4 linked regions of the Stegostoma tigrinum genome follow. The protein of the gene in region 4 purifies or fractionates together with the protein of the main gene of each other region. This does not show direct contact. Links are inferred from orthologs where the notes say so. Each region holds a gene or a part of one and is shown on either strand. Other genes may lie near its edges. The genes, in order: anapc13, cdh31, anapc7 and cdc27.

Region 1 (7,192 bases), on a different chromosome or scaffold from region 4:
TGCTGTCACTTTTTAAACTGTTTTTCATTCCAATCACATTTTATCTTTTTCATTCCAAAACTAATAACAATGCACCTTCATACAATTAATATTATTTTAAGATACTATACAAATATAAATTCTGTACGTACTAGTGGTATTTCCACATCTTCATATGGCAGTTTGTCCTCACGCCATGCATCATCAATAAGATCCAGAATTCTGCCATCTCTTTGTACTTCACTGTCCATGTGTCTTGGTTGACACTGTACGCAAACACAAAACAGAAAATACAGGATTTAGTAAACATAGAGCATACGTGCCTGCATTTATTACACTTTCACCCTGGCTCATCTTGAAACTTCTAGCTCCTTAGCTTTTTACTCAAAGGAAGCAAGTCTGTCCCACCCAATACTCTTATCAGCCCTGGTTCAGTTAGTTACACTTTCATCTCCAAATTAAAAGATTGTATGTTAATGTTCCACTAAAGGTCTTGAGCACAAAACCTTTCATGACACCGCAGTCAGTTGCACTGTGAGAAGTGCTGTCATTTGGATAAGATATTAAACCGATATTGCATTTATTTTTTCAGATGGATGTAAAGGATCCCCTGACCCTATCTGCAAATGCAGCAGGGGTGTGATCTGGGCATGTCGCTCAATATCTAAATTTTCAAACTCATCACAAAAAATATTATCTAGATGTAACAGTGATGCTACTTGTGGGAGCTTGCTCTGTACAAATAGGGAGGTGGTGGCCTCGTAGTGTTGTCAATGAAATAGGAATTCAGAACCCAAAACGAATATCACACGACAATATTCTGGGGACGTACATGTTGACGTCACTATGGCAGTGAAATCTGAATTCAATTAAAATCTGGAATAGAGAGCTACCGTAACAGTAAGTGGATAACCACCACTCAATAACTCACCGGGTTCACTGCGGTCCTTTAAGGAAGGAAATCTATATCCTTACCTGATCTGTCCTAGATATGACTCCAGATGAACAGCAATGCGGTTGATTCTTAACTGCTTTCTAAGTAGTTAGGAATGGGCAATAAATATAGACCTAAGCAAATTCCACATCCTACAAAAGAATAAAAATAATTACATCAATATGCAGCAAAACTTCTGGCTGCGAAACAAGTTGTAAAATCATGAGGTTGTGAAGACTACTAAATGAATGCAAGAATTTTGTTTGGATTGACTGACATAAAATTTGCTGTTGTAATTTGCCTTTTAAAAAATTGTGACGTACATACTGAAAATCAGTTTGCTCAATGGGATAGTTAGGACGTGCTGACAGCTAATTCAATTAACAATATGTGGCAGATACATTACCAGACAAAATCTAAGCTAAACAGCCCATCGAGTCTATATTATTTTACTAGCGCCTCTCCGTTTACAGAGAGAAAAACAGAGTTTAAGCTTTAAGACCTACATTCCCTTCAGAACAATATTAACTGTTTTCCTCTCTCCAGATGCTCCCAAACCCAAGTTTCTTCAGCACTTTGTTGATATCCCTTGATTTTTCTAAGTGTTTTCTAAGTGTTTCCTTCAAATGATTTTGCATCTTTGGCCTTTGCAACATATTCATTTAAGCTGGACTTGAAGATTATGTTGCTTTGTTTCAATTTTCCCCAAGAAGTTTCTCCATTTAACATTGTACATCTTGGGAGTAAAATCTTTCAATTTCATTTTCAGATAACATAATTATACCAAATCTTCTCATAGCTCAATTCCTTAATCGTGGATGAATTTTTACTTTCATCACATTTGGACATCACCAAAGCTAGTATTTGTTGATCTTCCCTAAGAAGTCCTTCTCAAAAGACTAGCACAATCTTCTCAACAGATTCAGCATGAACTGTACTAAGTCAACCTTTTCGGTTTCCATTAGGCTTTGTTATCCTACATGCCAAGCATTTAATCAAATACCTCAGGTCGCTTGGGTTAATAAAAATCTGGTCACTCGCACATATACTGTTTGTGGGTGCTTCCTGTGTATACAGTACATCAATGGCGACTTCAGAATTTCTTCATTGGCTGAGGATCTGTATGGACATTAAACATGTTATAGAAATGTAAGTCTGTATGTCTTTGCTCTGATCTCCTGACTCCGCTTGAAACTTCAAACGTGCCACCTCACACATCCATTGGGTTAAAACAAGTAAATGAACCCAGCTGTGTGCCGTTCTGAGGAAGGAACATCGGGATAGAAACATTAACTCTGTTTCTCTCTTCACAGACCCCGTCCCGTCCCTCCCCCCACCGGCGCTGCCCCCCCCCCCAACCGTCCCACCCCGACCCTCCCAACCTGTCCCGCCCCACCACCCTGTTCCGACCTGCCCTCCCACCCTGTCCTGCTCCGCCCCTCCCCACCGTTCATTCCCGCCTCACCCCCGCCACGTCCGTCCCACTCCTTCTGCCCGTCCCTACCCTCCCCACCGCCCTGCCCCTCCTCCCTCCCCAACCCCCGCCACGCCCTGCCCCATCCCTCCACACCCCACCCCTCCCACCACTACCCTCCCCTCCGCGCCGTCGTGCCCCTTCTGCTCCAACCCCCACTCTTCGTCCCACCCCACCCCCACACTCACCCCGCCCGCATCCCCCTGCCCACACCCCATCCCCCCGCCCGTACGCCCCCCCAACAGCCCCCGCCCCCCGTCTCCCCCTCCCCCCGCCCCCCCCTCCTCGCCCCGCCCCGCCCCCGTCTCACCCTCGCCCCGCCCCCCGTCTCACCCTCGCCCCGCCCCCCTCGCCCCGCCCCCCGTCTCACCCTCGCCCCGCCCCCCTCACCCCGCCCCCCGTCTCACCCTCGCCCCGCCCCCCGTCTCCCCGCCCCCCGTCTCCCCCTCGCCCCGCCCCCGTCTCCCCCTCGCCCCGCCCCCCTCCCGCCGATATACCGTCCGGGACTCTCCCTCACCCCCAACAATCCCGATGAACGGTCCGGCCTCTCCCTGCCTCCCGGTCCCCCCCGATGAACGGTCCGGCCTCTCCCTGCCTCCCGGTCCCCCACGATGAACGGTCCGGCCTCTCCCTGCCTCCCGGTCCCCCACGATGAACGGTCCGGCCTCTCCCTTCCTCCCGGTCCCCCCCGATGAACGGTCCGCCCTCTCCCTGCCTCCCGGTCCCCCCCGATGAATGGTCCGGCCTCTCCCTGCCTCTCGGTCCCCCCAGATGAACGGTCCGGCCACAATCAGTAAATAATTGGAGTGAAGTGTTTGATTTCCGATGGAAGCTCACAGACTTTCAGGCGATAACAGAGTGTGGAGCTGGAGAAGCACAACAGGCTAGGCGGCGTCAGAGGAGCAGGAAAGTTGACATTTCGGGTCGGGGTCCTTCTTCCGAAAAAGGCTCCGGGCAGTGATTTTGCTTCTCTCCGCGCCGCGAGGTTGTTGCGGCCGTTTCCGAGTGAACAGCACTTTCCTTTCAGTTTTATTTTGTGCCTGTTCAGTTTTCCAGCCTGTCTCGCCCCCCCTCTCACTGACAAACTCCATGCTCGCCTCCTCAGCCGTGAGGTTTGTTTTCGTCGTTTTCTTTCCTGAGCCGACAAATAACGGAAAGGCCTGAGCCATCCCCTTTAAGTCGGGTGGCCCTTTCCCTTTAAGCGGTTGCCTAGTGACGGAGGCGGGAGGCCCAGGGTCGGTGAGTGGATTGCAGCGGGGTAGGGGACGGCAGCATTCACAGACTTCAAACAGCACAGTTAAAGTGAAATATCCCTGTGAAATGAACATTTGAATTGTAATATTGAAGAGTGTAGAGCTGGGAAGTGTGGCTGGAGTAGATTTAGTGTAGTTCTGGTCGGACAGACTTGGTTGGCTGAATGACCTTTCCTGTGTTTTATGTTTCTGTAAAATGTGGGCACCAGGGGCATGGCCAGCATTTGTTGATCACCTTTGCCTTTTTAAAAAAAACTTGAATGGTATTTCAGAGGGCAGTTACGAGTCTACCAGATTTTTGAGGGTGAGGGCGGCATATGTCCTTTCGTCAGAAACTTTGGTAGACGGATTTTTAATCAGCAAGGGAATCGAGGAAAATGGAGTTAAGGAACATCAGACAAGCTGCGATCCCATTGAGTGGTGGAGCAGACTTGAGGGCCGAATGGCCTACTTCTGCTCCTGCGTATAATGGTCTTACTGTCTTAAAAATCCATCTGGTTCACCAGTGGTAATTCCTGACACTAACCTTCAGTTCCAGATTGTGAAACTCCAGATTGTTAAATTCCAGTTCTTTTGGTATTAACATTTTTGATTTTTTTTAAAAGTAGTAATCTTAACAAACAAGGACTGGCTGAACGTTTTCGTCAAGGCGACTTGGAAAGACTTAGAATTCAAGCAACAAAGGACAGATTTCCACTTAACAGCACCTTTTACAAATTGAGAATGGCACAAAGTGCTGATTAAAGGATATGAACAGCATGACTTTGTATGTTCCCAATGGCAATCCACTGAATTAGTTTACATTTGCTAACTTTGAATAGAAAACTGAAGCGTAGAAATGTCATGTTTTGAAATGAAATTGATCTGTAGTCTGATGTAATACCAGTCGATCACATGTCTGAAGAATTCGAATGATTACGTTTTCTTTATTACAGTAATCCCACAGTTGTCTTTAGTTTTGTGTTTGGCACACTGGAATCTTGTGATTGGTGTCGACATCAATCTATCCAAGGGGATTTACCAGGGTGTTGCTGGGAATAGAGGGTTTGAGATCTAAAAATAGATTGGCAAGACTGGGACTTTTTTCACTGGTGAGTAGGAGGTTGAAGGGTGACTTCATTGACATCTATGGAATAATGAGGGTCATAGATAAGGTGGGTGACAAGGGTCATTTCCTGAGGGTGGGGGAGTTCAAAACTAGGGGACATATTTTTAAGGTGAGATTAAAAATTCAAAAAGGACATGAAGGGTAGCTCTTTTACACAGAGTTGTTTGTGTGTGGACTGAACTGCCAGAGAGTGGTGGAAGCAGGTATAGTTACAACGTTTAAAAGTCGTTTGGATAAGTTTGTGAATAGGATAGATTTGAAGGGATGTTGGCCAAGGACATGGGCGACTCGGACTAGTTTAGATTGGGAATATGATCTGTATGGACTGGTTGGACCAAAGAATCTGTTTCCATGCCGTATGATGCTGTAACTATGTTTTGGGAATATACAAGGTCATTGCACCATGTTTATATTCTCTGTTCAACACTTGATAATTCTTGCTGAAATTTTCTGCTTATTTGGACCTGAAACAACTATCGTATACTTAACTCAAATTGCTGATTGGAAAAAGTGTTTGACAATAAGCTCATTCAGAACTACATTTCCAAATCCAAGTTTCTGTGGAACTGGAATGATAAGCTGTGAAATAGTATTTTTACAGAATACAACCATTTGTGGAACAACTGAAATTATTTTACTGCTGGCCAGCTGCAAATCTCAGAGGAGCCAGTCTTAGTGGAAGCATCAGGTGTCAAGGTGCACAGTGAATTTGCATTTTTCTGCCTTTCAAAAAAAAAATTGGGAAGTTTTCCAATTCTCAGAATATAGTGGATTTTTTGGCTTACTTGGTAACATTACTATTTGAAAAAATCATTGCGTTGAACAGTAGATTGAACAATCATTGTGCCTTTGACATAAATTCTCCTGATTTGCCTTCCTCAACCACAAAAGAAAAAAACTTCTGAATATTGTCAAGCTTTTATGAAAATGTTTTGCAGTTGAGTGATTCCAGTTTTCAACTGGATTTTAGGGTACCTTTTCACAAACTTTGGTTGCTGTAAGAGTGTGCTTGTGATTCTGCTGAAAGTAACTTTAGATAATAGCAGGTACTTTCTGGGGCTCAGGATTTCATTTATTTTTCTGTCATCAGTCAAGAATGCCTTTGTACTTTGGCTCAGATCTTTGTTGAATACATTTATTGTTAAAATGTTGGGCTGCAGTGATCTTGTGAAGAAGTTTACAGCAACAGGGCTATGGAGGTGTTGGCATAATCATGCACTCAACTTCCTACATCTCATCTAGATTCCCTAGCTCGCTTGCTAGACCCATTGATTCCCAAAATCAGCTTTACCATGTATGGATCTTGATCCCACCATCTTTAGCTCCCTAAATTTTTGTCGTGATGATCAGACAGCTAATATTAGCATGTATTCATTTTAATTGATTCATTAATTTTAAAACGAAATGATAGCAGTTAAGTTTGAACAATCAGTCTGATCAATAAAATATATGTATCTTCATTATTGTGAATAGTCAGTTGTTTTCCATCTTGGAATCTTGGTTTTATTGCATTAGTTGATTGGGCCTGTGTGTTTTGTAGTACATGGACTTTTGTGAAGTTTAAATGAATTTGAAATAAATGTTTCCTGGATTCAGATTAACACCTGATAGATTTGCTAGGAAAATAACATTTTGATAGCTTTTGTTAAAGTGGTTTATTGCTGTTTGGGGAAAAATGTTCAAATCTCTGTAGTAGAAAATCAGTGACATGTTTGTCATATATGCTCCCACAGATAAGTGATGATGTGTTTTAACGTGATTTCTGAACAAAAAAACTTCAAGAACTCCTTCAAAATGTGTTCTATAATTGATGGTGAACATTGACTAATGGGATTGAAATCAGTATTGTGGTTTAATAGTATTTTTATTACAATTTCCATATAACCATGTTGTCTAATATTTTAAACATTTTGCTCAATGCTGATGTTTGGGGAACAGTTTTTCCTGTTCTGGAATCTCAATGCTATTTTGACAGTCAAGCTCGCTTTGTTACAATGCGGTGTTTCATTGGCAATATTATATATTTTTCTCATTATAGGATACAAAAAGGTTGAAAAATCAAAGATGTCTCCAAAAAACAAAAAACGTGGTGGAAATGGAAAATCAAGTAATACTTTTTCCTATGTTTTGCTAGTGATTCTATGTTCAGTGATGATGGTAACTTAATGTAATGGCTTTGTAACAGATGAGCATCAAGGAATGATGTATTGCGACTGTGATGGTTATAACAGAGCCATTCTAAGAGTTTCCCTTTTTGCTAAATTATAGGAAATTATATGGGGAATGTTTATGTTTTTGAGCTTGTTATAATTTTCTGCCAGTTCCTTCCATGTTGCTGTCTTTTTGAATCCACTGGTCCCTTGGTTCAGTATAGCTCCAGAGTTTAGAGCATCTCTATCCCTCTTTAAAGATGATAATTATTCATGCATCACCTGACAGTGGAT
Region 2 (7,695 bases), on a different chromosome or scaffold from region 4:
AATGTGGCTGAGTTAGCTACATTGGCAGGCAGGGCGTTCCACACCCTTACCACTCTCTGAGTAAAGAACCTGCCTCTGACATCTGTCTTAAATCTTTCACCCCTCAGTTTGTAGCTATGCCCCCTCGTATAAGCTGAAGTCATCATCCTCGGAAAAAGACTCTCACTGTCCACCCTATCTAATCCTCCGTTGGTCTTACATAAGTAAACTCTGTGGCTAATTAAGATTTGGATTTTTTTGTTTATTCATATAGGCATCACTGCCTAGGCCAGAATTTATTGCCCATTCCTAATTGCCCAGACAGCAGTTAAGAGTCAATCACATTACTGTAGGCCAGACCAGGTAAGAATGGCAGATGTCCTTCCCTAAAGCACATTTGTGATCCATGTTTTTTTTGTGACGACTAAAGGACAGTGGTTATACTGTCACCATTAATGATAGCTTTTTATTCTAGGATTTTATTGAATTACAATGTCATCATCTGCCAGAATACTGAATTCAAGTACTAGATTACTATCGCACTGACATCACCACTACACCATAATTGTGTACATTCAAGCACCGGGAAGATGTTGTTTGAGGCACATCTTAAAGTCTAATAAATGGCAAGATTTTTGTTTCATCTCAAGATTCTACAGCTTGACATGATTAATAAGAAAAAACATTCTAAAAATGGTGCAGTAAATTATTTTAGACTGATGATTAATTATTGGGATGGATATCTGTTAAGGATTGCCTGTGAATAGTGACAAGTATCTGCACAAACATCAGAATTATGACTGATTATACTAGATTGTTTCAGTGATTGACAAGAAATTTGGCTTACATCTATGTAAAACCTGACCTCTTCTTCCAAGCATTCAAAAGTATTCCAGTCAGTGATTACACTAATCATTTTATGAGGTACAAAGCAATTTGGTTTTGGTAGTAACAGTTAAGAGACAAATATTGGACAACTTCAGCTTTATATAGTTGTATATGATCTATGCAGCCTTGCTGGAGCAGGGAGGACACAATTTTATTTATCATGTAAATGGCACACCCTTGAAAATACAGCACCTGCCAATTCTTGACTTGAAGACTATTTTATAATACTATATGTAATTTTTTTACTAGGTCATATGCTACATGTACAGGCATGCAAGTAATAGGGTACTGTTGAGTCAGCCTGCAGATAGAAACCAATTCTCTAACAAGAACACAAAGCACAAAGTGTTGGAAAAGAGCCTAATGTGGCACCAACAACTTCAAAGTAAGCTGATATATTGCACAATAATCTGTGTTGCAAACTGTGAAATTCCTTTCACAGGACTGCAGCAAGAGCTCATGAGATCAGGTGTTAGTACACTGGCGCAGGGGAGAGGAATATTCCTACCCCATCCCATTACAGCAACAATTTTCATAAGAAAATGATCAAATTCAATGTTAATGTTTGCTTTGGTAAAGGGAATTCAGAATTTTTTTAATCTTAGGCATTCCTTAAGATCCCAAGCCAGCTACAGAATTAAATTTTGCACAGAGATGTGGTAAGCTGGAAAGGCTTTCTAAGTACTGACACATCGGTGTTAGAATCAAAACAGGCTCCCAACCCCACATACCAGGATCAATATGTATTAAGACTGACTTTTTTGCTCCCCAATCCAGGCATCTGCCAATCCTAAACAGTGAGTGTACAAATATACCCTACAAGCTAATAACTATGTTTATTCTGTCCCAATTTCAGAATATCTAGGGTAAAATTGAAAAACTGCAAATAGAAAGTGGCAGGGACTAGGAAGTGTACACACACAGGCATGTTCAATTTCCTCCTTCATCAGCAATGTTGGTGATTTAGGCAGTGCAAAGATTCTTGCATTCGCAACAGGCAAGTGTCACTGTGTGAGCAACTCAGTTGAAGCTTTGGGTAAAGATAGATAAAAATGCCCTGTTGATTAACTTTCCAATCAGCATGGCTACAAAAGCATCATTTCTCTTTCCATTTCTGGATTAGATGCAGCGCAGCAACTGTTTCAGGATTACATTTCACACCAAAAGCCACATCCTCACAGACACATTAGTTGATCACAGAAACTTTAACTGCATCGTTCTTAAATAGTTTAGAGAATGTTTCCTCTGGTACATAGACTCCATGTGGTGACATCCAAATATATTGATAAAGATTTCCTCTGTTTGCTATTTCTAACAACGTTGTAAACACATTGAAAAATATTTTTATTGATTCACTCCACACCGTAAACAGAGCAAGGCCTGAAAGCTTATTTGTACAGTTCTCATTTTTCAGCCACGCCTGACATTGGTCTTCCTCATTAGTATATAAGTGCTCAATGTTTTGTGGCCTTCCCACTGGTTGCTTACATTGCATGCAGTCAATGCTGCATCTGGAACACGCCTCAATTGAGGAATGATCCAATTTCTCAGCCAAAACCCTCATAAATGTGTGATTGACCACAAGAACTCGAACTACATCATCCTTGTTTGGCTGCGTGCTCACCAATCCCAACACTTCCTGCTGAAAATCTTGCTGACATAACTAATAGTCCTCTGGGCAAGGTACCAACAAGATATGTCTGTGTTGATTCTAATGCATTACCCCTCTTTATTCCCTTCGATCTCTGCAAAGTCCCAGTCCTCTTCCACTGCCTCACTGCCATACCACCAGCCTCCAGCTGCAGCCAGTACATTGTTTCACTCTACTTAACAGGATATATCCTTTTGAAGCCATTGTCCAGTGATTCCCAGAGTGGAAGTAATCTAAGTAGATGTACTCTGAGGTCAATTTGTGACTACTTGTTTGTGATTTTACATATAAATGAATTTGGGAGCATTTTCTGTCAATTGCAACCTACAAATCCAGGTCTACGCCCTTTAGGGAGATAACTCTACTGCAGATTTAGCAGATGTGGGAGGACATCACCACCTTCAAATTCCCTTCAAAACACATACTCTCTTGACTTGGAAATGTATTGCTGTTGCTTCACTGTCCCTGGGTCATTACCATGGAACTCCCACCCTAACAGTATAGGTGGTTTACTTTGATTACACAGACTGCAGCAGTTCAATAAAGGAAGAAATTATTTACATTTACTGCCTTTTAAATTTTAGCTATGATGAAATGTCACAGATATCTACTAAATAGAGTCATACAGCATGGAAATAGACCCTTTCGTCCAACTCGTCTATGCCTACCAGATATCCTGAATTTATCTAGGTGTGGAGCTGGAGGAACATGGCAGCCCAGGCAGCATCAGAGAAGCAGGAAAGCTTCTCTGATGCTGCGTGGCCTGCTGTGTTCCTCCAGCTCCACACCTTGTTACCTCAGACTCCAGCATCAGCAGTTCCTACTATTCCTGAATTTATCTAATCCCATTTGACAGCTTTTGGCCCGTATCTCTCTTAACCCTTCCTATTCATATACCCACGCAGAAGCCTTTTAAATGTTGTCATTGTAACAGCCTCCATCACTTCCTCTGGCAGCTCATTCCATGCACACACCACCCTCTGGGTGAAAATGTTGCCCCGTAGGTCCCTTTTAAATCTTTCTCCTCACATAAAACCTATGCCCTCCAGTTTTGGACTCCTCCACCCTGGGGAAATGACCTTGTCTATTCACTATATCTATGCCTCCTCATCATTTTACAAACTTCTATAAGCCTCTGATGCTCCAGGGAAAATAGCCCCAGTCCATTTAGCCTCTCCCTATTGCTCAAACACTCCAACCCTGGCAGCATCTTTGTAAATCTTTACTGAACACTTAAAACTTTAACAACATCGAATGCAGTATTCCAAAAGAGCCCCAACCAACGTTCTGCACATCAGTATCATGACCTCCCAACTCCTTTACTCAAAGCAACAAAGGCAAGCAGGCTAAATCCCGTCTTCACTATCCTATGTACCTGCGGACTCTACTGTCAAGCAGCAAGTGTTTATATACAGACACAATAGTTGCATGATGATGTCCTGGTTGGAAAAAAAAACACTGAATAAGGTTTTCTGTATTTGAAACAACGGCATGTATTTCTAAAGCACGTTTAACAGTTGTAAGGAGTGTCCTGAAAGGGGTACAAAAGGACGGGGAGATTTCGAGATTAACTTCTAATGAAGGAGAATCTGCTAAAGTTGACTCAATTAACATCGGGGCTGCTGATCCACGCCAGAAACAAGGGAGGGTTGATGAAAGACTAAATTTCGCTAGACTGCCCTCCTCTCTAGAAATTCTGGTTTACAGAGAAATGACTCCTATACATTTCATCATCTAGAATGGCTTCACGATAGACAATATCTGAACTTGAATTCTCTCCAAATATGCAGAACAGTTGCCTTAAGTTAGCACTGTCTACTCCAGTCACCCTTGTTTGGAATGTAACCTCCTTTTTCACCGATCTGTGCTGGGGTCAAACTCGACATTAATGCAGGCGCTGCCCAGATCCACAGTACACAAATGGGATTGATGCCAACTTTCCAAGAGGCCGCTGTCCAGATAGTTTACACTTAGCAAGTTATTTTGATGCCCGCTCCTTCCAGTAAACGGCATCATTTCCGCCACCTTCCCCTGAAACTGGGAGTGGGGGAATTTATTACAACAGTTTCAATCACTGGGAGCTGAGAGCGTCGGTGCGTCGCCGCCGCCTTTACCTGACGCCAGCTTTACCCAAAATTGGATACAAGCATCCGGGCGTCAGCCAATGAGAGAGAAACTCACCTGGAGACGTCACCTGGATTGGCAGCGATTGGCTTCCAGTTTTGGAGAAGGATGGTGATCGGAGAGAAGGGGAAAGTCAGTGAGAACGAGGAGGTGGAATTCAGAGGCAACAGGCACAACGCGTTTTGGAAACTGACTCGTAACCCAATGGGGAGTTACAGGCTGTCGTTTCTGGGGATAGTCACCCTCCTGCTCCAGGTGAGTGAGTTCTACTTCTCACGAGGTTAGACCGTGTACATCTGAATTCTGGCGAAGGGAGGGGGGCAAGACCTCCGGTTTGTTACACGGTTCCCCTAGCCCTGCACTCCATATCTTCAGTTTCGTATCAATTTCATTATCGGCTGAGCTTTCATCCGAGCGAGTGCGAATTATCCCCGTTGCCGCGGCGGGGGACCCGGTGTGAGCTGTAAACGGAGGGGAAGGATGGATTTGTGTTTGGTACTTTTATTTGATGTTAACCTGTCCGTATCCACAGGTTTGGAGCGGCGAGGCATCGACTGGATGTAAAGGGTTCGAGCCAAAGAGCTACACTTTCAGGGAGCCGTCAGTGGAGGTGGGACAAGTTCTGGGCAGAGGTAAGAGTTCAGGAAAGTACGTGAGGATCGGCGGGGATTTCACACGGAGAAATGCGGAAGCGAGACTGAGAACCTTGGGGGTGGGAACACAGAAAAGGGATCGAGAATCCTTTCCGGATCCCTAAGAAAAAGGGATCCAGTGAGAAGGAATTGAATTTTTTTTAAAAGTGCCCTCGGTTGTAGAAGAATCCGAGATCCCGTTTCTTTTCGCAACCCCCCTCTCTTTTACCGGAGGAATTGGTGATAAATACATTCACAGAGAATATCTGCTGCCTGTGTTGAGGGCGGTGGCTGGACTTTCGATTCTGCTGGTCTCGCCTTTTGTTCAACTTCTTGTTCAATCTTCAACTATAGCCGTGCTACCTTTTATATTCCCAAATTCTCCAATATTGGCAAGGAAATTTCAGGTTTTAACATGAGTGGGGACCCTGTTTGTTTCCTAGTGGACTGTTTGTGTTTCGAGTGCAGTGAAAGGAAGGAGAGCTCGGATGAGAGAGTTCTATCAGCGTTTCTACACTAACAACCCCCTGATCTAATCTAAAGAGGTCTCGAGTGTGTGTCATAGATATTATTTTAATTTCTCTACAAAATTTTAACTAATCATGGTGCACAATGCTGTGGTCAGTGAATTACTGTTACTAACATCTGCTCAGTACAGCTAAGTCGGAGAAACACGTTGTCAAAATCACCCTAAGGCTTGTACAAAATTAATTTAATTTTCTGGGAAAAGCCCCGGAACACTCTTTTAGCTTCCAAACAGCCCCGATCAGATTATAATGCGTTTTACCAACTAGGTGATCCCTTTTAAAGCACTGAATTATCTCTTTTACGTTTTAACCAGCTGTCCTATTTTTCATTCTATAAATTCCTGCTAACTTCATTCAGGGGAAATTGGTAATTGATTCCATTGTTTGCTCCTTATTTTCTCTACTTGTTGAAATCCCCTGTGTGATGACTTGATTTAATTTTACAAAATGGATGCCACCCAAGTTTCACAAAACAAAGTCCAGCTCACCTGAAAATGTCTTCTGCCTGTCGGAGAATAGGGCCACTAAAACAAATACTTTCTATCAAAGGTTTTCTGTCCCTCGACTGAAATTAATTGGTCAGTCTTTGGAGAAACTGAACTTTGAAGTCCTTGGATTTCAGTTGAGATTTGTTCTCCAAAGTTTCTGAGGTCCCTTTGGGGAACGTACTTATGGCTTTCATTGTGGAAACAGCCAAGACATTTTCTTAAAAACTCGTGTGGGTGGCCTGTCAGAAATTACTGCTGTCTCATCAACACATTTTAATTTGGTGTCACATTGCACTCTGACTTATTTATAGAAGTCAAATTGACAACAAAAAAACTTTTTCCAGTTATTCAATCAAGTGCTACATTCCAATGTCAATGAACGAGATTTGCTGTCTGTACACAGTTTATGCGCATGCCCTCTCTGTATTATCAGGATAAATATAAATGACTCAAATATTATTCCAAACCAAGACTACAAAGCATGCAGATGAAGTGGTTTATTGTGAAGAGGGATTTGTGTGCGTTGAAGAGATTCGTTATTATGCATGAATTGGGTAGTCAAAATGCTGTAAAGACTTTCTGAACACATGACAAAATAATGTGTCCAATCTTGCGTGTCTGTTTTCTTGCCAATTGTTTTACTATGTTTGTCTCTAGTCAATTTAAATTCTCGTGATTTTTGTTTATGTTCGTCATTTCACGGTGATCAGGACAACAAAAGCGTGAAGAGTTGTATAACAAGGAAAATGGTTCCTTTTCATTTACTGCAACTGGTATTTTGGCTTTTAGAGATGATAGGAACTGCAGATGCTGGAGAATCTGAGATAACAAGATGAGAGGCTGGATGTACACAGCAGGCCAAGCAGCATCTCAGGAGCAGGAAAGCTGACATTGTGGGCCTAAACACGAATAAGACTAATAATCTCCTTCATTCTTTTGAAATAAAAAAAACGATTTTTCTGATGAGGGGTCTAGGCCCAAAACGTCAGCATTCCTGCTCAGCCTCCTGTGTTCATCCAGCTCCACACGTTGTTATCTTGGCTTTTAGAGATGAATGTACTTTTGTTTCAATGTTTTTTGATGTAATGTATGATAGCTCATATACTGTGGGAAATGACAAGTCTTGCCACTTCATTTCACTCTGTATGCCTTTATCATGTAAGCCAAAACTTGAGTTATAGTGGAAATAGTCAGTGGTGTGTCTCCAAATGCATGCTTATGATGCTTGAGTGTCTGATATTGAGCTACGAGCTGATGCTTTTTCCTAGAAATCCTTTCTACCCTGTAATAATTTAAATTTAATTTTAAAATTAATTTAAAACTTAATACATTTGATTAATTTTGATACATCTTTTTTTGGGCAGGCTGTTGTTTTGTTAATTGCCTCTGTTTTCAACCTCTTGTAT
Region 3 (7,284 bases), on a different chromosome or scaffold from region 4:
TCCAAAATTATCTGTCAGATATTATAAAAGTTTTTTTCTCTTTGTTCATGGCACGTGGGCACCACTGACTAGACAAGCATTTACTGCACATTCATAGTTGCCCAGAGGGCAGTTAAAAGTCAATCAAATTGATGTCATATGTAGGCCAGACCAGTTGAAGATGAGTTTCCTCCTCTAAAAGGGCATTAGTGAACTAGTTCAGTTTTCCCAACAATTGACAATGGTTTCATGATCATCATTAGACTCTTAATTCCAGGTTTTTATTGAATTCAAATCTGCAACGACATGATTCGAACCCAGAATGTTGCCTGGGTTTCTGGATTAATAGTTTGGCAATAATACCATGCGGTCATTGTATATGAAGAGCTTTAAGGGAGGTAATCAGAAACATCTGCCTTTATCTCTTCTCTTTCCAGAGGTTTAACAGTTTGTTTCAAGACACCATCATGAGTCGTACAGCACAGACACAGATCCTTCAGTCCAATCAGTCTAACCCGAACATAATCCCAAATTAAACTAGTCCCAGCTGCCTTCTTCTGGCCCTTATCCCTCCAAACCTTTCCTCTTCTTGGTTATCCAAATGTCTATTAAACACTGTAACTGTGCCACATCCACCACTTCCTCAAAGTTCATTCCACGCGTAAACCACCCTCTTTAAAAATTTGCCACTCATGTCTTTTTTAATCTCTCTCCTTTTTCACCTTAAAAATGCATCGTTTAGTGCTGAAATACCCCATGCTAGGGAAAAGATACCTACCATTAATCCTATCTATACCCCTCATGATTTTATAAACTTCTATAAAGTTACCTCTCAACCTTATATACTCCAGTGAAAAAAGTCCCAGCCTATCCAATCTTTATAATTCAAACCTTCCATACCCAGCAACATCCTGGTAAATCTTTTCAGAACCTTCTCCAGTTTAATAATATCCTTCATATAAGTGGATGACCAGAACTGCACACAGTGCTCCAGAAGCGGTCTCACCAATGTCATCAACATGAATTCACAATTCCTTTAGTCAAAAGGACTGAACAATGAAGGCAAGCGTGCCAAACACCTTTTTAAACCACCATGTCCATCTGGTGATACAAACTTCACAAAATTATGTACATGAACCCCGAGGTCCCTCTGTTTACTACTAGAATGGTTGCATCTTTTAAGACCATAAGACCATAAGACAGAGTGGAAGCAAGGCCATTCGGCTCATCGAGTCCACTCTGCCATTTAATCATGGCTGATGGGCATTTCAACTCCACTTACCCGCACTCTCCCCGTAGCCCTTAATTCATTGCAAGATCAAGAATTTATCAATCTCTGCCTTGAATAAATTTAACATCCCGGCCTTCACTGCGCTCCATGGCAATGAATTCCACAGGCCCACCACTCTCTGGCTGAAGAAATGTCTCCTCATTTCCGTTCTAAATTGACCCCCTCTAATTCTAAGGCTGTGCCCACGGGTCCTAATCTCCCCGCCTAACGAAAACAACTTCCCAGCGAAACACAATGAAATATAACACCAAAATTCAGGTAAATGTAATAGGCAGGTTGCAGAATCAAAGTCCTAGTTACATTGAGACAAACAGCTTTCTGGCACTGCTGATGGCGGAAGGTACATGAACTATGCATCAGAATTCCTCCAATTCTCTGATCAAATTAATAGAACTTTCAAAATTGATATGGCAAATAGGACCCTAGATTTAACATTTTACCCAAGGTCAATTTTTCCAAATACAAACTAGTCCATCCCCACGAATAGATCAACAAATTGTAATAAAAAGCATCCTTAAAAAAGAAAACAGTCCATCATACTTTACATGGTTTGGAGAGAAACTAGTATCAAGCTATGGTGAGAATTGCAAAGGTTATTGAAAGTTTAGCAATAATGGCTTTACCCAAAACATTAAAAGAAGGTCGAAAGCACTGCTACTAGAGGTGAAGAAAAGTAAGGGTTGGAGGTACAAAAAGCCAGTCGGAAAAAAATGTAGAGATTGGGATAGATTCAAACAAGCAAGACTTATATTCAGTTGGCAAGTTTGAATTCAATGTGTTGGTGGGGACACAAAACCAACATAGATTATACTTTTGAATCTTCAGAATCTATTTAATCTCTATCAAAAATCTATTTAAACTTACAAATCAATTGAGCTAGCATCCACTATCATTTGTAGAAGAGTTCCAGACCACAATACTGTATATAAAGTAGTGTCCTAATATCACCGTCTCTTGAAAAGCTCAATCAAATCACCCCTCAACTTTTAAATTCCAAGGTTCACTTTAAAAGAAACCTTAAAAGAAAAGTTCCTTTTTTGTTTACTTCTTCCTTGCAATAAAAGTATCATTTGAGTAAATCTATATTACACTCTTTACAAGGTCTATAATCCTTTCTAAGGGATTATGCCCAGGACTCTGTTTTATTTCAGGTAATGGTCTAACCTGGGCCTTAGTTAACGGAGCATGGCTTCTACCCCTAGTATTTTAGTTCTATGTTTATAAAGGCCAACATTCCCTTCTGATTGAAGTCATAAAAACTCACAGAAGCTTAAATCATTCGGAGGTGACAATACTATATGGCTGGAACACGTAATGATAATACAATCAAAGGCTTGGACTGTCACACTCCATTCACCATTCAGTTTACACCAGTGGTACCTATGAACCAAGACTTTTTTCTTTCACCCTTCCACTTTGAGACTAGAACAAAATCATTTTAAGCCTCAAACTTTTAACAGGTTCGGAACTTATTTGGAGATGCGGGAGCAAACTGCATTTTAAAACCATACCATGTCAGGGGGAGAGGATTCGGAACACATAGAATCAATTGAGAGAGAACTCGCCAGGTAAAACCAACCACTTACGGATTATTGTCGCTCATAGTCAGTAACAGGCTACTAAGTAATCTCACGTTGGAGTAAAGGCCAGCGGCCACCATATCCCGAACGTGGTCAATAACGTTCATCTTTTCTTCTGTCAGATCAGTGCTCTGAGTGAAGACGACGCTAAAGCAGTAGCACTAACAGCATCAAAAATGGCGCTGTGGACCTCCCTGCAGCTAGAGCTGCTCACTTTGCGCCTGAATTACTATGATTCACCGTGGCAGTGCAGTGTATTTTTTTTTCGTAACGTACTTAATAATTAAAATTATATAGCTACGTTTGTTTGCCAACCGCGAGATTAGAAATAGCCGTTGAAGTAAAGCGGCACATGGCGGGCAGCTTTGCGTTGCTAGGGGGAAGGCGCATGTGCGGCTTTGATGCCGGAGCCGGGATGTGAGCAGCCTGTAAGGCCGCAGGCCGAGGCTTGGTATAGCGTGGGCCCGCAAGGCTTGGAGCGGTTGCTTCTGACTATCTACCTGACCCACCTACTTTACCTTTATTATTTGATTTTCATATTTTACTTGGTTTGATCCGATCCTTGAGTAATGACAGACCAGTCCGCCCTGCTCCTTAGGAAACAGTTGGCAGGTACGCGACGCCCTTGGGATCTCAAACTTTGCTGCAGATGTGAGTTGTGGCTGGAAGGACTGTTGTTGCTGCTGAGTCTCGACCCCCTTTCAGCTCCCCACTTCCTTCTGACTATTTTCGTTTTGGCTATTACTATATGTTAATTGTTAAAAGAGGAACATTTGGGACGTTATTTATGTTATGTCATCGGTCGTCAGACTCTTTTAAAAGTCATTGTTTCGTAACTTTTTTTACCGCTTCCCCCTCTCCTTCCCTCCGCGTTATCGCTATGACAGACTGGCAAAGTGTCTTCCTGGAATATTTTGCGGCCACGGGACTGCAGTCATTTTTGGAAGATTGGCAGTTTATACGCACGAATTTTACAGGCGTCAAAGTTATAGAAAATCCAGATGTTGTCAGTCTGACGCGATTGTAAAATCGAAAAATCGTTATGGCGCTTCACAGCCGCGAACGCTGACATGATGAATGTGTTCTTACTTTTGACCAGATTGCATATCTTCTGTTCGCTTTCACTGCGTATTACAGTTGCCTGTTGCTAGTCCCCTGAAAGACTTGAATTGTTACATGTTATGGAGTCATAGTCATACAGCACTGGAACAGGCGCCTCGGCCCAACTTGTTCATGCCGACCAGGTTTCCAAAACTGAACTAACCCCATTTGAGATAATGGGAACTGCAGATGCTGGAGATTCCAAGATAATAAAATGTGAGGCTGGATGAACACAGCAGGCCAAGCAGCATCTCAGGAGCACAAAAGCTGACGTTTCGGGCCTAGACCCTTCATCAGAGAGCATTTGCCTGCGTTTGGCCCATGTCCCTCTAAATCTTTCCTAGCCATGTACCTGTCCAAATGTCTTTTAAATACCCACCTCTAACACTTCCTCTGGCAGCTTATTTCATATATGCATGTTCTATATACCCTGTCTGAAAAAGTTGCCCCTCAGGCTCCATGTAAATTTTCCCCCTCTCACCTTAAACCCTCTAGTTCCTCTCTTCTCCCCCCAGCAAGGGAGAAGACTTTGGCTATTCACCTTATCTATGTCCCTCATGATTTTATAAACCTCTACAAGGCCACCCCTCGGTTCCTACGCTCCAGGGAAAAACATTCCAACCTCTTCTTATAACTCAAACCTTCTAATGTTGGTAATGTCTTTGTAAATGTTTTTGCACCATTTCCAGCTTAATAACATCCTTTCTACAGCAGGACAAGCAAAATTATATGCAGTACTCCAAATGTGGCCTTACCAATGTCTTGTATGGTTGTAGCATGATGTCAAAACTCCTGTACTCAGTGCCATGACCAATGAAGGCATACATGCCAAATACTGTCTTCACCAATCTATCTACCTGTGTTACCACTTTCAAGAAATCATGTTTGCACCCCTAGGTCTCTCTGTTCAAGAATACTCCCCAGAGTGCTGCCATTGAGTGTGGAAGTCTTGCCCTGGTTTACCTTACCAAAATGCAACACCTCACATTTATCTGAATTAAACTGTATCTGCCGTTCCTTGGTTCACTGGCCCAGTTGATCAAGATCCCATTGTACTTTTGGGTAACCTTCTTGACTGTCCACTATACCACCAATTCTGGTGTCATTGCCAAACTTACTAACCATGCCCCCTATTTTCTTATCCAGATTGTTTACATAAATGATGAACAGCTGTGGACACAACTGATCCATTTGACACACTGCTGATCACAGGCCTCCAGTCTGAAAAACAACCCTGTACCACCACTTTCTGTTCCTACCATCAAGTCAATTTTGTATCCAGTTGGCTAGCTCTCTCTGGACCCCATGTGGTGTAATCTTACTTACCAATCTACGATTGTCAAAGGCCTTGCAAAAGTCCATGTAGACTGTTCTGCCTTCATCTACGTGGTCATCGCTTCAAAAAACTCAATCACATTTGTGACACGTGATTTTGCACAAAGCCATGCTGACAATCCGGGATCAGTCCTTGCTTTTCCAAGTGCATGTACTCCCTGTGTCTCTCAATCCCCTCCAACAACTTACCCACTACTAATATTAGGTTTACTAGTCTGTTATTCTCTGTCTTTTCCTTCACCCTTTCTTAAATAATGGCACGTTAGCCACCCTCCAGTCTTCCGGCACCTCACTCATGCCTGTCAATGATACAAATACCTCTGCTAGGGGCCCTGCAGTTTCTCCCCTAGCTCCTCTCAATCTCTGGTGTTACACTGGATCGATACCTTTGTCCTTTGAGAACCTCTAGCACCACTTCTTCTGCAATGTGGGCTTTTTTTCAAAACATCAGTATTTATTCTCCTGAGTTCCTTAGCTTCCATGTCTTTCTCCATGGTAAATACTGACAAGAAATATCTGTTTAGGATTTCACCCATCTTCCATGGCTTCACGCACAGATGACCTTTAAGGGGCCCTATTCTGTCCCCGGTTATTCTTTTGCTGTTATTATACTTGTAGAATCTCTTTGGATTCTCCTTTATCTTAGACATTAAAATTATCTCCTGCCCCCTTTTCGCCCTTCTAATTTCATTCTTAAGGTACTCCTATACTCCCTATACTCCTCAAGGGATTTACTTGATCCCAGCTGCTTATACCTGACAATTGAGGTAGCATGGTGGCTCAGTGGTTAGCACTGCTGCCTCACAGCATCAGGGACTTGGATTTGATTACACCCTTGAGCAACTGTGTGTGGAGCTTGCATGTTCTCTATATGTCCTCCCACAGTCCAAAGATATGCAGGATAGGTGAATCAGCCATGCTAAAGTGCCCACGGATGAGGTAAGTTAGGTGGATTGGTCATGGGGGAATGCAGGATTACAGGGAATAAGGTTGGGGGGAATGAGTCTAGGTGGGATGCTTTTCGGGGGATTGGTGTCAAGTCAGTGGGCCAAATGGCCTGCTTCTGCACTAGGGATTCCCTGATTCGATATGCCTCCTCTTTCTTGACCAGAGCCTCAATGCAGTAGTCATCCTGTTCCCTACACCTGCCAGCCTTGCCTTTCACACTAATTGGACCATGCAGGCCCTGAACTTTTCCTTTGGTATGCTTCACATCAGAATTAAAATATAGTTATCCTCTTAGCTGTGAGAGTTGATGGATAGCATTTGGTCTTAAAATGCTGCAATACAGATTGAGGTGTGTTTTCATTCCATTCCTACTGTGACCATGAACTACAGTGGTTAAACTACTGAAATGGTAGGTAGAAGAGAAAAGTCACATTTTGATTTAATGATTTATTACTGGACAAGTTAGATCCCAAACTCTGAAATCTAGCTTGATCATATTTTGTTTATTTTTAAGAATCCCCACTGTGTGGAAGCAGGCCATTCAGCCCATCAAGTCCACACCGACCTTCTGAAGAGCATTCCACCCACACCCATCCCTTTATTTCCCACCCTAGACACGATGGACAATTTAGCATAGCCAATCCACCGAACCTGCAAATCTTTGGACAGTGGGAGGAAACCAGAATACCTGGAGTAAACCCACACAGACAATGTGTAAACTCCACAGAGGCAGTTGCCTGAGGCTGGAATTGAATCCAGGTCCCTGGCGCTCTGGGGCAGCAGTGCCAACCACCGAGCCACTGTGCTGCCTAATGAAGTAGCCTTTCTCTGAAATGCACACACACAATGCTACAGTTTCATTTCACATAAAACAAGTTTCATTACTCAAAAGAAATGAAGATAAAATAGAATAAGCCATTGAATTTTACATAAATGTAAATATTTCAAAACTCAAGGTAAAATACAATGTCATTAATCCCAAAATCACTCCTCCTTAGTACTCATACCAGAGATAATGCACTTCTATTTCATATTTATAAAGTTTAATTT
Region 4 (7,747 bases):
CTCCCTGAGGCCAGAGAGGAATTAAAAATTTATGCCAGTGCCCCTGCAATTTCCCACAGCAACCTGGGATGGAATTCATCCAGGCCAAGGGATTTGTCTGTTTTTAAGTCTGACAGAGCCTCCAATTTCCTTTCATTTCAATTCAATTCCAATCATTTCGTATGTTACATTGCGCAACTTCCTCAAATAATGCCTTTTCCTGAATTCTATACCGACATTCTCCTTGAGGATAAAGACTGAAGTGACATATTCATTCAACATCCTTTCAATATCCTGCTGCTTCACACACAGGTTGCCCCCTTGGTCCCTAATGGGCCCTATTCTTCCCTGAGTTAACCTCTTCCCTTTAAAATATTTATAAAATGTTTTAGGATTCTCCCTAATTCTGTTTGCAAATAATTTTTCATGTCCCCCTTTTGCTCTTCTAATTGCTTTAAAGTTGCCACCTGAACTTCCTGTACTCAAGTGCCACAACTGAATTGCTCCCGTTAGACCTGGCCTACTCTTGTTCCTTATCCAGTCCTGATTTGCCCTAAACATCCAGGATTCTCAGAACTTATTGCCCCTTACCCCTCAAGGCTAAGTGCTGGGCCTGTAGAATGTACTTCATTATCACTTGAGCTACAATACAGAAGTACAGAGGGACACATCTTGGTGTTCTTATAGAAAAGGGATTAAAGGAATGCAGAAGCATTACCTACAAAAGGTAGTTACCACAGTAGAAAGGTTTCAAATGACAGTCCATTTTCAGCAGCTCAGCACATGCGCCAGGCCCAAGACCACCAATTGTCCTGTTTTGCTCCAGCCTCCAGTCTGCTCCTCAATGGCACTCAGCAGCCACAAAGCTAAGTTGCACTTGACCAGGATTCATCCCTTAGCCCCTCCAAGTATTCTCCCCAGCTCCTTTCTGAATATCACCCATTGCTTCGCTGTAGATTTACCTGAAAGGCGATGATCCCCATCCAAGGTTAGTAGGCAAGAATGGCATTGGTGACTGCAATCCCACCTAACTGAACATCTTTGAAGTACCAGGTCCTGAATAGATCAAAGTTCTCCAGATGTGGCCTAAATCAGAACTTGATATAAGTGTAACATAACTTCTAGCCCTTTTCATTTCAGTCTTATACAGACTATAGATTGTTCTAATCTTTTAAAGTTATTTTCAAACCTGTCCATTAGTTTCTGATTGTTTCTGCATATGAAACCCTAAATGTCTAAGATCAGCCATGATTAGCTTTCTACAATTTGAGTAACACCTTTTGTTTGAAATGGAACTGACTCTGACTAGTTTCTGTGCTGACAGAGAAACCATCAATCACCACCTCCTCGTCATTGGCCCAAAGCTGCTGGATGCTCCTCAAGATCAGCAAAGCAGTTACAATACACCGTTCAAAAACATACAAAGCTGCTTGTAGGCTAGGACAAAGGACACAAAGTACACACTTGCAAAGATATTGCATTTTCTGCAATTCTGTGGCCAGTTGAATAATATTTTGAAATGTAAACTTGTAGGAAAAGCAGTCACCAGTTTTCACACAGCAAGTTGGCACGAACAACAACTAGATGAATGATCAGATCATCTACTTTAAGCAATGTCAGTTGGAAACTAAAATACTCAAAATTCAATCAAAATCAACATTCACTCAAATCAAAGTTACAGACTTGGGCCTCAACTTCCATTCTATCACTATTTCTTGCCCTCTCCTTTCTTTCTCATCCCTTTGATCTGAAGAACTTTTTCCTCCAAAAACTGACATGTATATTTTCCATAGCATTCAAAGTTTATATTCACTGAACGAGCACAAGCTGATGTTTTTCTGATTGCAACTAAGAAAAATCAGCAACTTGGCAAAATCAGTCAGCTCACAGTAATTCCAGACTCGATCAACCAACTTGACAATGTTCATCATGACACGCAAACTAATCACCACAGATCATGCAAGCGTCACGTGTTGTCCATTTAGAACAGTTTTCTAAAGGTCATGCATCTTTGGAACTCTCAAGATCATCCAGCAGATTCTTCAAATGCTTTAAAGTCAAGGCAGAAAACTTCTTGTTAAGCAACAGGGTGAAAAGTTATCAAAAAAGTAGGTTAAAAACAGATCATCCATGATCTTATTGAAAGACAAAAGAAGTTCAAGGAGCTGAATGATCTCCCCTGTTGCTTGCTCATATGTTTCTACTACCTGCAGAGTTTGTAATCATTAGTACTCCATTCTACATAGCTGAAAATTTTCTTCCCCCATATACACAATGTTTCGAGCCAATTATCTCAATCCTACCTCATGAAACTTCGCTGTTCAGAAGTGAACATTCCAACACCCACCATTACACTCTCAGCACCTACTAAACAGGAAGAAAGCAGTTAAATTCCAACAGGACCATCACCAAAAACTAAGTATTTTCTGTTTCTCTCGAAACCTGCAGGATTGCCTTAAAGCTCTGCGGGGAAGAAAAAGGATAGCAATCTTCATACCGAATAGGCGTGATCATCCTGTTAACAAAACATGCCTAACTGTTGTATTTGCCTCAAAATCGTTTTTTTTAAAAAACCAAGGAGTAAACTAGGCCTGACAGAATGCTGGATTAACATAAATCCACCAAACAGTACCGCTGTTTGGAAAACAAAAAGCTTTTCCAATTCCAGAACCACGGCTCTAATACAGACTTCATAGCCAGTTTAAAAACTCAATGACAATCAGTCCCCTCGCACCCCCTCAAGATACACAGGCCCACTCCTCTGGCCGGACCGCGCCAGGCCGGGAAGGTAGGAGCAGGCGGCCCACTCTTCACACACACGGGTCGGACTTGTAAGTGACAGCGGGCCTGGAATCCCCAGGGCCGTTTTACCTGAACGGGTTCCTGCAGCACTGTCATGATGTAAGAACCAGTCTGTACCAAGTAGCGCGGCTTCTCATCACACACAGCTCGGCCCAGGATTCAAATTTCAACAGTCACAGCCACCGTAGCCTAACGGCCAGCAGGACGACGACACACCGGACGGAAATCACCGAGTTATGCCGGGAATTGCCGAACCTTGTCGGGAATCGCCGAACGCTGCCGGAAGTTGTCGCCTCACGACCGGAAATTAGTTAGGTGAGAGTTGTGAGGAGTGAGAGTGGAGGGCGTATAGTCCTGAGTCCATCCCAGCTGATGGTAATATTCTGCAGGTCACCTTCTACGGTGATGCTCACCTCGTGGACCGTAAGATTTAATATTGCTTTTGCTTCCTTCGCTGCTGTGAGCAGTAACTGGAAATTTCTAAAGAATTGCCAGTGTATTGCAAATTCTTTTCGTGCAGATGGAAACCATTTGGCCCATTGTGCCTGCATTATCACTGCGCCATTTTGCTGCTTTTTTCAACGTAAGCCTGCATATCGTTACGATTTAAATAATCGTCTGACGCCCTCTGAACGCTCTGAATCTAGCTCCTGTACACTTCCAAACAGTGCATTCCAGGCACAAAAACAGAAATTGTTGCAAAAGCTCGGCAAGTGTGGTAGCATCTGCGGAAAGAAATCAGATTTACGTTTCGGCTTCAGTGACCCTACCTCAGAACTCTCTTCCTCATTCCAGACCCTCATTCCTTGTGTGATGGAGTTTTCTTCGTGCCCCACATTTGCTGTGTTTGCAAATCATTTCACTACTGTAGTCTAGGTCTGAAGCAATCAAGTTGGGTGACCCTGACTTACACAGGAAATCTAGGTACAATTTTCACAAAACTATTAGGGATGCCAAAGGACAATACCAGGCTCCAACTCCACACTGCATTGACTGTGACTCCGGCATATGCAGTTCTTACCATCTCCAGGTGATTGAAAACCCAAATGTGAAGCCTTTTCCCAGGATACCCACCCTGAGGAAGTTGTCCTCCTCACTCCAAAAAAATCAAGGATCTCTCCCATTGCAAACCACGGATGACTCTTCAGCCCTGAAGCTCTTCAATTACATACTAAAACAAATCCATTACTTCAACCTGGGCTTCTTCCTGTATCATAATGACACCACATGCAAATTGGAGAAACAACACCTCATATTCCACCTTGGGAGCCGATAGTCTAATGGCTTCAACATAGATTTCGCCAGTTTTAAAATAGAACATAGAAAAGTACAGAACAGTACAGGCCCTTCAGCCCATGATGTTGTGCCGTGGAATATTCTAATCCAAAAATAAAATAACCTAACCTACATTTCCCTCAATTCACTGTTATCTATGTGCATGTCCAGCAGTCGCTTAAATGTCACTAATGTCTCTGCTTCCACGACTACCACTGGCAAAGTATTCCATGCGCTCACAACTCTCTGGGCGAAGAACCTCCCTCTGACGTCTCCTCTATACCTTCCTCCTAACGCCTTAAAACTATGACCCCTCGTGGCAGTCAATCCTGCCCTGGGGAAAAGTCTCTGGCTCTATCCATGCCTCTCATTACCTTGTACACCTTGATCAGGTCACCTCTCTTCCTCCTTCTCACCAGAGAGAAAAGTCCGAGCTCAGTCAACCTCTCATAAGACAAGCCCTCCAGTCCAGGCAGCATCCTAGTAAACCTCCTTTGCACCCTCTCCAAAGCCTCCACATCTTTCCTATAATAGGGCGACCAGAACTGGACACAATATTCCAAGTGTGGTCTCACCAGGGTTTTGTAGAGCTGCAGCATAACCTCACGGCTCTTAAACTTGATCCCCCTGTTAAGAAAGCCAAAACACCATATGCTTTCTTAACAACCTTATCACCTGGGTGGCAACTTTGAGGGAGCTATGCACTTGAACACTAAGATCCCACTGTTCCTCGACACTGCCTAGAATTCTGCCTTTAATCCTATATTCAACATTAAGGTTCGACCTTCCAAAATGCATCACTTCGCATTTATCCAGGTTGAACTCCATCTGCCATATCTCAGCCCAGCTCTGCATTCTGTCAATGTCTCGCTGAAGCCTGCAATAGCCCTCGATACTATCAATGGCACCTCCAACCTTTGTGTCATCAGTAAACATAGTAACCCACCCCTCAACCTCCTCATCCAAGTCATTTATAAAAACTACAAAGAGCAGAGGCCCAAGAACACAGCCCTGTGGGACACCACTCAGCACTGACCTCCAGGCAGAATACTTACCATCTGCAACCACTCTCTGCCTCCTGTCAGCCAACCAATTCTGAATCCAGACAGCCAGATCACCCTGTATCCCATACGTCCTGACTTTATGAATGAGCCTGCCGTGGGGAACCTTATCAAATGCCTTGCTGAAGTCCATGTACACCACATCCGCTGCTCGACCCTCGTCAACCTGTCTCGTGACTTCCTCAAAGAACTCAATAAGATTTGTAAGGCATGACCTGCCCCTCACAAAGCCATGCTGACTCCCTTTAATCACGCTATGCTTTTCCAAATAATCATAAATCCTATCCCTCAGAATTCTTTCCAAAACCTTGCTGACCACAGACGTATGACTGACTGGTCTGTAATTTCCAGGGATTTCCCTATTCCCTTTCTTGAAAAGAGGAACAACATTTGCCTCTCTCCAATCTTCTGGTACAACTCCCATGGAGAGTGAGGAAGCAAAGATCTTTGCCAGTGGTTTAGCAACTTCCTTTCTGGCTTCCCGGCGCAACCTAGGATAAATCTGGTCTGGCCCTGGGGACTTATCAATCTTAATGTTTGCAAATCTCCCCACCCCCAGCCTCATCCCGTGTCCAAGCCTCCTCCTTGACCTGACACAACCTGTCCATCTTCTTTCTCACATATAACACAGTGTGGAGCTAGAGGAATGCAGCAGGCCAGGCAGCATCAGAGGAATCGGAAAGTTGATATTTCGGATCAGGACCTTTCTTCTTTTTCTGAAGAAGGGTCCCGACCCGAAACATCAACTTTCCTGCTCTTCCAGCTCCACACTGTGTTATCTCTGACACCAGAATCGGCAGTTTTTACTATCGTCTTTCCTACCTATACACCCCACCCTTCCCACTGACCAATCCCCACTACCCTGCATCCACCTATTACCACCTTCCTCCAGCCCCACTTCCCTCCGTCTATTTCCCAGCTCCCTTCCCCCTCCCCAGTCCTGAAGGGCCCCAACCTGAAACGTCGGCTTTGCTGCTCCCTGATGCTGCCTGACCTAGAGTTCCTCACTGTATTGACTCTGACTCCAGCATCTTCAGTTCTTGCTATCTCCTAAACTAGAGTACCAGACTAACCACACAAACACACATCTACTGTGTCAAGGGTTACATGATATAATAGGCTACAAAACAAAGCTGAATACAATCGGTAACAACAATGCTTGTCTCCCCGATGAGCTCAATGCATTCTATGCTTGTTTTGCACCAAAAGTGGTGAAAAATTGTCACCTATGAAAACCAGCCTTCCTTCCATTGAATCTGTCTACAGTTCCTGCTACCTCAGGAAAGCAGCCAACACAATCAAAAACCCCAGCTATATAAATGCCAAATGAACTGTGGATGCTGTGAGTCAGGAGCAAAAACAAAGTTGCTGGAAAAGCTCAGCAGGTCTGGCAACATCTGACCCTCCCTCAGAACCCAGTTATATTCTCTTCCATCCTCTTCCAGGCAGAAGATACAAAACTTTGAAAACACAGACCAAATGATTCAAGAACAATTTCTTCCTTGCTGTTATTTAACTTATGAACAGACTTAGAGTTACAGTGCCGTATAGCTTTATCGCGCCATAGTGATGTGTACCTTTCAGTCCAACCCATCTATGCAGACCAGATATTTGCCAGCATTTGGCTCATATCCCTCTAACCCTTCCTATTTATACACCCATCAAGATGACTTTCAAATGTTATCATTGCAGTAGCTTCTACCACTTTCTCTGACAGCTCATTCCATACAAGCATACCCTCTGTGTGAAAAGGTTGCCCCTTAGATCCTTTTTAAATCTTTCCCCTCTCACTTTCAACCTATACCCTCTCATCTTGTTTATTAGAGTTGATCGTTCTCTTCATCTCTGTAACTGTATTCTGCATTATGTTCTATTACCCCCCGATGTACTTACGAATGGTATGATTTGACTGGATAGCACATGAAACAACACTTTTCACTGTACTTTGGTACATGTGACAAATAAATCAAATCCAATCTTGATCCTTTTTTTAAGCAGCAACGATTCCTGCCTGTTTACTCTGCCCAGAGCTTTCAAGTTTTCATATTTTTTCATTAATGGGATGTGCTTGCTGTTGTCTGGACCAGCACTTGTTACTCATCCCTAAAGAAGGTGGTGGTGAACTGCCTTCTTGAACCACTCCAGTCCTTGTGTCATTGTTAGGAAGGGATTTCCAGGATTTTGACCCAGGAACCCTGAAGGAATAATGATGCAGTTCGATGGCCGGTTGGTGAGTGGCTTGTGGTGTTGCCAAGTTCCATGTTCTTTTGAATGAGGTTGTCGGCTTAGTTTTCTCTCCAGGGAAAACAGTCACAATCTCTCCAATCTGTTGTCATAAACTGAAGACAACCATCCCTGGAGCTATTTTTTTGAAATCTCTTCTGCACTCTTCCCTATGTATTCACTTCCTTTCTAAAGTGTGGCACGCATAACTGAATACAAACACCAGCCGAGGTCTAAGTTATGCCTTTACTTAAAGTGAGAAATCACACAACACCAGATTATCCTACAATTTTATTTGAAATCACAAGCTTTTGGAATGCTGCTGCTTCATCAGCTCTGAAAGCTTGTGATTTCAAATAAAATTGTTGTAGGATAATCTGGTGTTGTGTGTAAACCTGTTGAACAAT

What was found.
Region 1: the proteins of cdc27 (region 4) and anapc13 purify together in Homo sapiens (affinity purification with mass spectrometry; 5 studies listed by BioGRID and IntAct, counting the BioPlex papers as one, with this or other methods). This does not show direct contact. The link is inferred for Stegostoma tigrinum from reciprocal best matches to the Homo sapiens genes CDC27 and ANAPC13.
Region 2: the proteins of cdc27 (region 4) and cdh31 purify together in Homo sapiens (affinity purification with western blotting; 4 studies listed by BioGRID and IntAct, with this or other methods). This does not show direct contact. The link is inferred for Stegostoma tigrinum from reciprocal best matches to the Homo sapiens genes CDC27 and CDH1.
Region 3: the proteins of cdc27 (region 4) and anapc7 purify together in Homo sapiens (affinity purification with western blotting; 23 studies listed by BioGRID and IntAct, with this or other methods). This does not show direct contact. The link is inferred for Stegostoma tigrinum from reciprocal best matches to the Homo sapiens genes CDC27 and ANAPC7.

What each region holds. Positions count from the first base shown.
Region 1 is NC_081385.1:20,041,326-20,048,517, forward strand, and holds the start of anapc13 (anaphase-promoting complex subunit 13), read right to left. Parts: upstream 3,040-7,192; 5' UTR 2,905-3,039; exon of another isoform or gene 2,896-2,904; intron 2,033-2,895; 5' UTR 1,917-2,032; intron 1,066-1,916; 5' UTR 955-1,065; intron 246-954; 5' UTR 231-245; coding exon 132-230; intron 1-131. Other genes in the region: thyn1 (thymocyte nuclear protein 1), read left to right, coding at 6,813-6,855. UniProt on the Homo sapiens protein: Component of the anaphase promoting complex/cyclosome (APC/C), a cell cycle-regulated E3 ubiquitin ligase that controls progression through mitosis and the G1 phase of the cell cycle.
Region 2 is NC_081369.1:40,081,800-40,089,494, forward strand, and holds the start of cdh31 (B-cadherin), read left to right. Parts: upstream 1-4,656; 5' UTR 4,657-4,750; coding exon 4,751-4,897; intron 4,898-5,174; coding exon 5,175-5,274; intron 5,275-7,695.
Region 3 is NC_081379.1:24,282,442-24,289,725, reverse strand, and holds the start of anapc7 (anaphase-promoting complex subunit 7), read right to left. Parts: upstream 3,054-7,284; 5' UTR 2,958-3,053; coding exon 2,857-2,957; intron 1-2,856. Other genes in the region: ube2g1b (ubiquitin-conjugating enzyme E2G 1b), read left to right, coding at 3,420-3,462. UniProt on the Homo sapiens protein: Component of the anaphase promoting complex/cyclosome (APC/C), a cell cycle-regulated E3 ubiquitin ligase that controls progression through mitosis and the G1 phase of the cell cycle.
Region 4 is NC_081384.1:40,773,029-40,780,775, reverse strand, and holds the start of cdc27 (cell division cycle protein 27 homolog), read right to left. Parts: upstream 3,002-7,747; 5' UTR 2,878-3,001; coding exon 2,851-2,877; intron 1-2,850. UniProt on the Homo sapiens protein: Component of the anaphase promoting complex/cyclosome (APC/C), a cell cycle-regulated E3 ubiquitin ligase that controls progression through mitosis and the G1 phase of the cell cycle.